Rattus norvegicus: one gene and its partner. The protein of the gene in region 2 binds, or shares a complex with, the protein of the main gene of each other region. Links are inferred from orthologs where the notes say so. Each region holds a gene or a part of one and is shown on either strand. Other genes may lie near its edges.

Region 1 (3,688 bases), on a different chromosome or scaffold from region 2:
ACTCACTGAAACAATTGATGACTTTTAAGAGTTTGTGTCCGTTACCATGAAACAATTTGTAGGCCTCACTATTTTCCACTGTTATTAATCTCTTCTTCCGTACTTTATATTGTTCATAAACTAATAACCAACAATGACTATTACTAAAAACAAAGATTTCCTGAAAAGTAAAAAAGACTTATCAACTAGTTTTTATATTACTGAAAGCCCATAATGAATGGTACATGAAAATGCTAATCACATTTACTTTATATAAAAACCTCTGCCAGGCCTTGGGAGTACATGTCTTTAATCCCGGATTTGGGGGGTAGAGGTGGTGGGCGGGGATAGGTGGATCTCTGAGTTTGAGGCCTGTCTTAGTCAGGGTTTCTGTTCCTGCACAAACATCATGACACAAAGCAGGTTGGGGAGGAAAGAGTTTATCCAGCTTACACAGTCACATTGCTGTTTCATCACCAAAGGAAGTCAGGACTGGAACTCGAGCAGGTCAGGAAGCAGGAGCTGATGCAGAGGCCATGGAGGGATGTTACTTACTGGCTTGCCTCCCGTGGCTTGCTCAGCTGGTTTTCTTATAGAACCCCAGGACCACCAGCCCAGGGATGGCACTACCCACAATGGGCTTGGTCCTCCCTCCTTGATCACTAGTTGAGAAGATGCCTTACAGCTGGGTCTCCCGAAGGCATTTCCACAACTGAGGCTCCTTTTCTGTGATAACTCCAGCCTGTGTCAAGTTGGCCTTCAAAACTAGCCAGTATAAGGCCACAGAGGTTTAGGAAGGCCAGTGATAACCTTAATAAATGAATTAAAAATGTATTTACTGGGTTTTAAAATTTGTTTTATTCAGGTTTATTTTATGCACAAGTGCTTTTGCCTGTATGCATGTATGTACCATTTGGGTCCCGCGCACTGGTAGGTCAGAGGTCGGCCTATCCGACCACCTGTGATTGTGAGCAATCATGTTGGTTCTAAGGCCCTCTGAAAAAGCAGCAATGCTCCTGCCTGCAGATCCAGCTCTCAGGCCCCTAGTTGGTCCTTTGAGACTGGGTCTCACTAAGTAGCTTTAGCTGGCCTGGAATCCTAAGTGTAGACCAGACTGGCCTGGAATTCACAAGGAGCTGCCTGTCTCTACCCCACAAGTTTTGGGAAAAATAAATCCTATTAAAATAATTAATCTGGGTATACCTCCTGTGGAGGCTCCACTCTTTCAGTTCTCAATAAGTCCACATGCACTCTGCTTAAAAAATAATCCAAAAGTTATTACTACTTTGATCAGATCTTAGTCTTTTTTTTTTTAAAGATTTATTTATTTCATGTATGTGAGTACACTGTCACTGTCTTCAGACACACCAGAAGGAATCAAATCCCATTACTAGGTGGTTGAGCCACCATGTGGTTGCTGGGACTTGAACTCAGGACCTCTGTAAGAGTGGTCAGTGCTCTTAACCACTGAGCCATCTCTCCAGCCCCAGATCTTAGTCTTTATCAACCCAAGTATTAGTTACTTCCTCTTCACATTTAAAAAGTATACTTAAAAGGATACATCTCTTAGTCCTTTTCTTGTACATTATTCTGTATCCACATTCTCTGCATCTGATTGGATCCCTGGATTTTATTTCATTTTCGGTGTGACACTCTGGGAAAGAAAGCACATTTATTCAAAGCCTGAAAGAGAAACACTCCAGGGAAGCAAACAGTAACAACATATTAAAAACAGGAGGAAACCAGGGCACCAAAACATCCAAGTACATTCTTATTACTGAACAGACCAAGGAGAAAGAAGAGCTGTAGGCAGTACACCTTTTCCAGATAAAAGGAAGAAATCTTAATAAGGTAGAGGGATTTTAAAATTAACAATCGCTAAAGTGCTCCACGTTATAATTTTAAAGATTTGTACTCATGTATGGAAGGATTCTTTTTAATGGGAGGGGGGGGCGTTCCTAAGTAAAGCATTATTTAAATGTTAATCTTACCTCCACAAATATATATCATTGGCTGCTGCTTTGGTGGTTGAACATCTTTCTGGGTGTCCATTGTTCGTGCCTGAAATGAGAGCCAAAGACTGAGTAACAGGGCCTTCGCACAAAACATGCCCCATTTGATTTATCTTTTTCTCAGAAGCTATACGAGGTTCTGATTTTCCGACCAAAGAGGAAAACCTCAGTAGAATGTTTGCCTAGTGTGCAGAAGCCCAAGAATCAATACCCAATATTACGGATGGGGAAATTAAAAAAAAAAAAAAAGTAATTATCTACTTCCCCTAAACAGTGATGTGGGCTGGGTCTGAAGGATACAGCACATTTTCAACAATAGTAAATACATTATGAATGTTTATTACTCTTCAGGATCCTAGAGGGTATTACACACGAAGAAACGGAGGCTAAGGACATGTTGGTTTGTCCAGTATCACTCCGCAAAGGAATTCCGATTTGAGCTGGGAGCAGTAGCTCCGTCAAAGCTTGTCTCAACATTAACTCCACCGGGGATCTTTATTTTCGCATTTGGTTCTTTAAGAAGGCTTTGAGAGTCTTCACTTTGTAATTCAGGTTAGCCGAGAACTCACTTTGTAGCCTTAGATTGAAAGTCAAGGTGCTTGTTGATGGCAGAATTCTCCTACCTCTGCTTCCCAAGCGCTCAGATGGCAGGCGTGTGCTACCGCTCTCGGTCGTCCAGGGATATTTTAAAGCCAGGTGTCTCTCCTAGTTTTGCCTCCAATTTACCTCCCAAATCACCCGCCGATCCCTTACCTCCGCAGCTCCGGAAAGCGTCCCTCCTCTGTGCACGCAAACGCTTTCTCCGGCTCTTAGAAGCAAGAGACACTACCGGCGCTGCTTCGCCAACTTCCGGCGCTGACTTATGACGCAAAAGCCCTGTCCCTTTCTGCCTGGCAGTACCGAAGAACTAGGGCGCTTGTTGGGGACTGGTTTATAGTGTTTCTCTCCTTAATTCCTGTAGGATTTTGTTTTGATTTGCCCCTCTCTCCAGGGTAGCAAAACATTCCCACAGCTCGGCGTTCGAGAGTCTGTGCTTGTGTAACGGCAGATAGAGCAGGAAGCCAAAACAGGTGCTGCTGGAATCTTAACCCAGCCATTGCTTGGGCGAACACCAGCAGGCCACCCTACCAACACTTCACTTCCCAATATCACGGTTTTCAAATTGTTCAATACCCATGCAGGTTTTTGTTTGTTTGTTGTTTTCAAATTCCAGTTTTCTTAGTTTCTTGTCACCTCTCTTCTATTTTATGTTGGGGAATGGAATGATAGGGGAAGCCCGAGGCTTGATAGTCTATGTAGCCCAGGCTGAGCTTGCTCTTAAACCGGCGCAGTTCTCTACCTTCGCCGCCTCAATGCTGAAATTAATTGCGCAAATCACAACGCCTGCCCATCTTCCTTTTTGAAGCCAAGGTTTTCACAACTAAGGTTTTCACAAGGACAACTCCATCAATTACTTCCACTAGTTGGTGGCTTTAGCTTTTCTCGTAGTATTCTCCCTCTTGTGTTTGATCAATTCAATAGAGTACAGGTGGTATGTGTTCTCACAGATCAAACTTTTAACTCAGTAAAAATCTGTTGGGTTCAGGACGTTTACACTCAATTATTTCACACCATTTATTTTAAAAATAGAGTGGACAAACTAATAGAAGAAAAACTAGGGAAGCATCTGGAACACATGGGCACTGGAAAAAATTTCC
Region 2 (3,749 bases):
ACCAAATACCAGAAACGAAGGGACGGGGAGGGCAGCAGAGCTGTTGCAGGGATTCAGAGCAGCACATAGGCACATAATACAAAATAAATGAAAATAAATATTAACAACAACAAAAAACAAAGCTTTCCTTGCTTCTCTTCTGGTTGACACTGGTTTTTCTTTTACAAATTTACATGTGGAGCACAATAGTAGAGCATTCACCTAGTGTGAACAATGTTCTGGAATCTATCCTCAACATCCTAAGAAAAGTATGCTGGATAGCAAACTCTCTAAAACTGCCTAAAGATTTATTTGATGTGTTTGGGTGTTTTGTATATATCTCTGTGTGTCCCTGCTGTGCTCACAGAGGTAAAAGAACCCCTGGGACTGGGGACTGCAGCCAGAGACAATTGTGAACCATCATGTAAATGCTGGGAATCCAACCAGGATCCTCTTTTGTTGTTTTGGAGACAAGCTCTTTTTTTTTTAATTGCCCTGGCTGTCCTAGAAGTCTAAACTAGCCTCAGATTCAGAGATCTGCCTTCCTGTCCCTCCTCTGCTGAGATTAAAGGTGGTGTGTACCACCATGCCCAGCTAAGGTGTGTACCACCATGCCCAGCCCCCAGCCTGGGTTTCCTTGGCCGTGGTAATATCCGTCTAACTCTCTCCTCTGTTTTTCACCACAGTCTCCATGTAGCCTAGGTCTGCCTCAGAACTGTGTAATACGTGTTTCGCACAGAGTAAGGTCTAAAATATGCGTCTAAAATAATGTACAGATCTTGTATTTTGTTCAGTCAAATCTCTCCACCGTGAAGACAATTTCTTTGATTTAAACAAATATGTACACGTGGGTTCTTGAATGTTCACAGAGGTCAATGCACAGTGTGTTTGCCAGAAAGGCAAGGTTGGCCGGTCAGCGAGTCCCAGAGATCCTTTTATCTCTACCTCTCCAGTGCTGGCATTACTATTACTATTATTATTATTATTATTATTATTATTATTATTATTATTATTATTATTATTATTATATCAGTACACTATAGCTGTCTTCAGACACACCAGAAGAGGGCATCAGATCTCATTACAGATGGTTGTGAGTCACCATGTAGTTGCCGGGGTTTGAACTCAGGACCTCTGGAAGAGCAGTCGGTGCCCTTAACCACTCACTGAGCCATTTATCCAGCCACCAAGTGCCAGCATTACTAACATCAAACTGTGCTTTTTACCTGGGTAACTCAGGCCCTAATATTTTACCCATTGGCTGCCTCCACTTCCAGTACCAGGGTTACATGCGCACACCACTATGGCAAGCTTCTTTCTGAAGGCGGTTCTGAGAAACCCGGCCACTGTTGGCCCCGCCTAGCTGTGCCCGCCTGTTCTTAGGGAAGCTTCAGACAGCTTAGGGCCAGGCGAAAGTCTACTTGCCTTCTAGCTGCGATCGTTCCGCTCGCTCACATGGGCCGCATTCGGCTCCCCCAGCGCGACTTCCGGGGCGGGCAGGCCGTGGCTTCCGGCGCAAGGCCCAGCGATCTCTCTGCCTAGGCCGAATGGCGGCCCCGCTGCTCCACACGCGCTTGTCGAGCGACGTGGCGGCTACGGGCTCTGCCACGCTGAGTGCGTCGCGGACTGGGTAAGATCTGGACGACCTCCGCCTGCGTGTGCGGGGCTCGAGCCGGCTGAGAGCGCTCGGGGTGTGACTAGGGCTCGGAGGGGTCCTGGCGTGCGGGCTTGGCCCAAGTGCGCAGGAGCCACTGGTCCTCTCTGCCCGGGCGAAGCTGCGTTAGCGAGTCTTGTCTGTTCCATTGTCTTCCACTCACTCTTGGGGGCACCCTTTTGGGACTATAGGCAAATCGTCCGCTCCTTTTTTCTTCCCTCTCTTGGCTAAGACGTGGACGGCATTTCCAGGGTTTTGTATATCCAGGGGAAAGCTGTCACTGGAGACCTATTGAATCGCCAAAATTTTGTTTGAAATTTGTTTCTGCAGAAGCGAGCAGTAGCATAGTGGAACCATATATTACCATATATTATCTAAGCAATCGGTTTTTTGGTTTTTTTGGTTTTTGGTTTTTTGTTTTTGCCTAACATTTAAAAATGCCTATTCCTATAAAACATTTGGAAGCTAATCTAAACAAAGTAAACCTTGTACAGAATAATAATAGTTGTTTATGAAGTATGTACATGCTGTGTTAAGAAGACACTGGGGACATTAGCTTATCCAGAGACTAATGTTCTCATACTCAACAGAACTGGAGGTGGGGAAGTGGGGGTGGGCAATAAACGGATAAGATAGTTTCAGGTATAGTTTCAGTAAATGCTGTGAAGAACTACAACTTTACAGCAGGATAAATAAAGGGTGAGTGTGAGAGGTTCTGGTGAAAAAGGCCTCTGACATTTGAGCTCCAGCCTTGTGTGTGTGTGTGTGTGTGTGTGTGTGTGTGTGTGTGTGTGTGTATGAAGGGTGTTTCTAACAGTGAGTAGCAAGTGGAATGGGAACCAGCTTGACAAGTTTGAGGAATAAAAAGGACATCATACTTTTAACAAACGATTGTATCATGACATCAGAGTTAGGAAAGGTGGATGGTTAAACAGGATCTTACAGGGTTAATATAGGAATACAGAGGTTTTTTTTTTTTAATTCTATTTTTTCCCTTCCCTTACTCTTAAAAAAAATAAAATAAAATTTGAGATCTCACTCTGTAGCCTAGGTCTGCCTCATCTTCCCAAATGTTGCTTTCTAAGTATTAGGAGTTTGAGTTTGAATTCTTATTGTAAGTGCTGCAAGAAGACAGTTTTAGTGAGTGAAGAGTGGATTCGTGGGGGAGAAGGTTGGAAGCAGGTATATATATCATTTAAGAAACTTAAACCTCATCACACAAAATGATGTTGGTTTAGTAATGCTTACTGTTGTCATTCTCTGTCATGAATTTAACAACTGGTATTCCTGGTTCTTCAGGCTTTCAAACATGCTTGCATTAGAGAGTGATTTCTTCAGTTCTCCCCCAAGAAAAACTGTTCGGTTTGGTGGAACTGTGACAGACGTCTTACTGAAGTACAAAAAGGTATGAGGAGATCTGGGCTTTACCTTGATAGGGTTTGGTTTAATGGGTGCTATACTGAAGAGCAAACTATCAAGACTTTGCATTCCTCCTGAGTACACCCCCAAAGCAAACAAACACAGCAGTAACAGAACAAGGTGAACTTTAGTGTTTATGTGTGCATTTATGATTTACGTTTCTCAGTGGTGGGCACTGGAACTAGAACCTTGTCCACACCAGGAAAACAGTTCTAGTTGAGCTCCGTCCTTAGGCTAAAGATAAATTTCACTCCGGGCTTGGTGGCTTGTGCCTTTAATCCTAGCATTTGAAGGCAGCAGGTGAATCCCTGAGTTTGAGACTAGCCTCTGTCTAAAACAGAGGTTCTCAACTTTCCTAATGCTTTGACCCTTTTAATACAGTTTCTCATGTTGCGGTGACCCCCAACCATAGAATTATTTTCTTTGCTACTTCATAACTGTAATTTTGCTATGGTTATGACTTATAATGTAAGTATCTGTGCTGTCTGATGGTCTTAGGCGACACCAGTGAAAGGGGTTCAGTCCCCAAAAGGGTAGACATCCACAGGTTGAGAACTGCTAGACTAAAAAGATGGAATGGAGGGAAATATTTAGTGAATATTTAGTGAAATAGAATATTTAGTGATGTGCATGATTCTGTAAGCTTAAAGGTAACCAAAACAAGTGTGGTGAGGTTTAAGACTTAAAATGCCGTATA

The links. The genes of interacting proteins can lie anywhere in the genome.
Region 1: Rrn3 (region 2) and Polr2k share a complex: the UniProt entries of both Homo sapiens proteins name them as parts of the pol I pre-initiation complex. The link is inferred for Rattus norvegicus from reciprocal best matches to the Homo sapiens genes RRN3 and POLR2K.

Annotation. Positions count from the first base shown.
Region 1 is NC_086025.1:69,240,372-69,244,059, reverse strand, and holds the start of Polr2k (DNA-directed RNA polymerases I, II, and III subunit RPABC4), read right to left. Parts: upstream 2,828-3,688; 5' UTR 2,745-2,827; intron 2,041-2,744; 5' UTR 2,032-2,040; coding exon 1,971-2,031; intron 1,634-1,970; coding exon 1,541-1,633; intron 1-1,540. UniProt on the Homo sapiens protein: DNA-dependent RNA polymerase catalyzes the transcription of DNA into RNA using the four ribonucleoside triphosphates as substrates.
Region 2 is NC_086028.1:2,670,067-2,673,815, reverse strand, and holds the start of Rrn3 (RNA polymerase I-specific transcription initiation factor RRN3), read left to right. Parts: upstream 1-1,520; 5' UTR 1,521-1,526; coding exon 1,527-1,609; intron 1,610-2,932; coding exon 2,933-3,038; intron 3,039-3,749. UniProt on the Homo sapiens protein: Required for efficient transcription initiation by RNA polymerase I (Pol I). Required for the formation of the competent pre-initiation complex (PIC).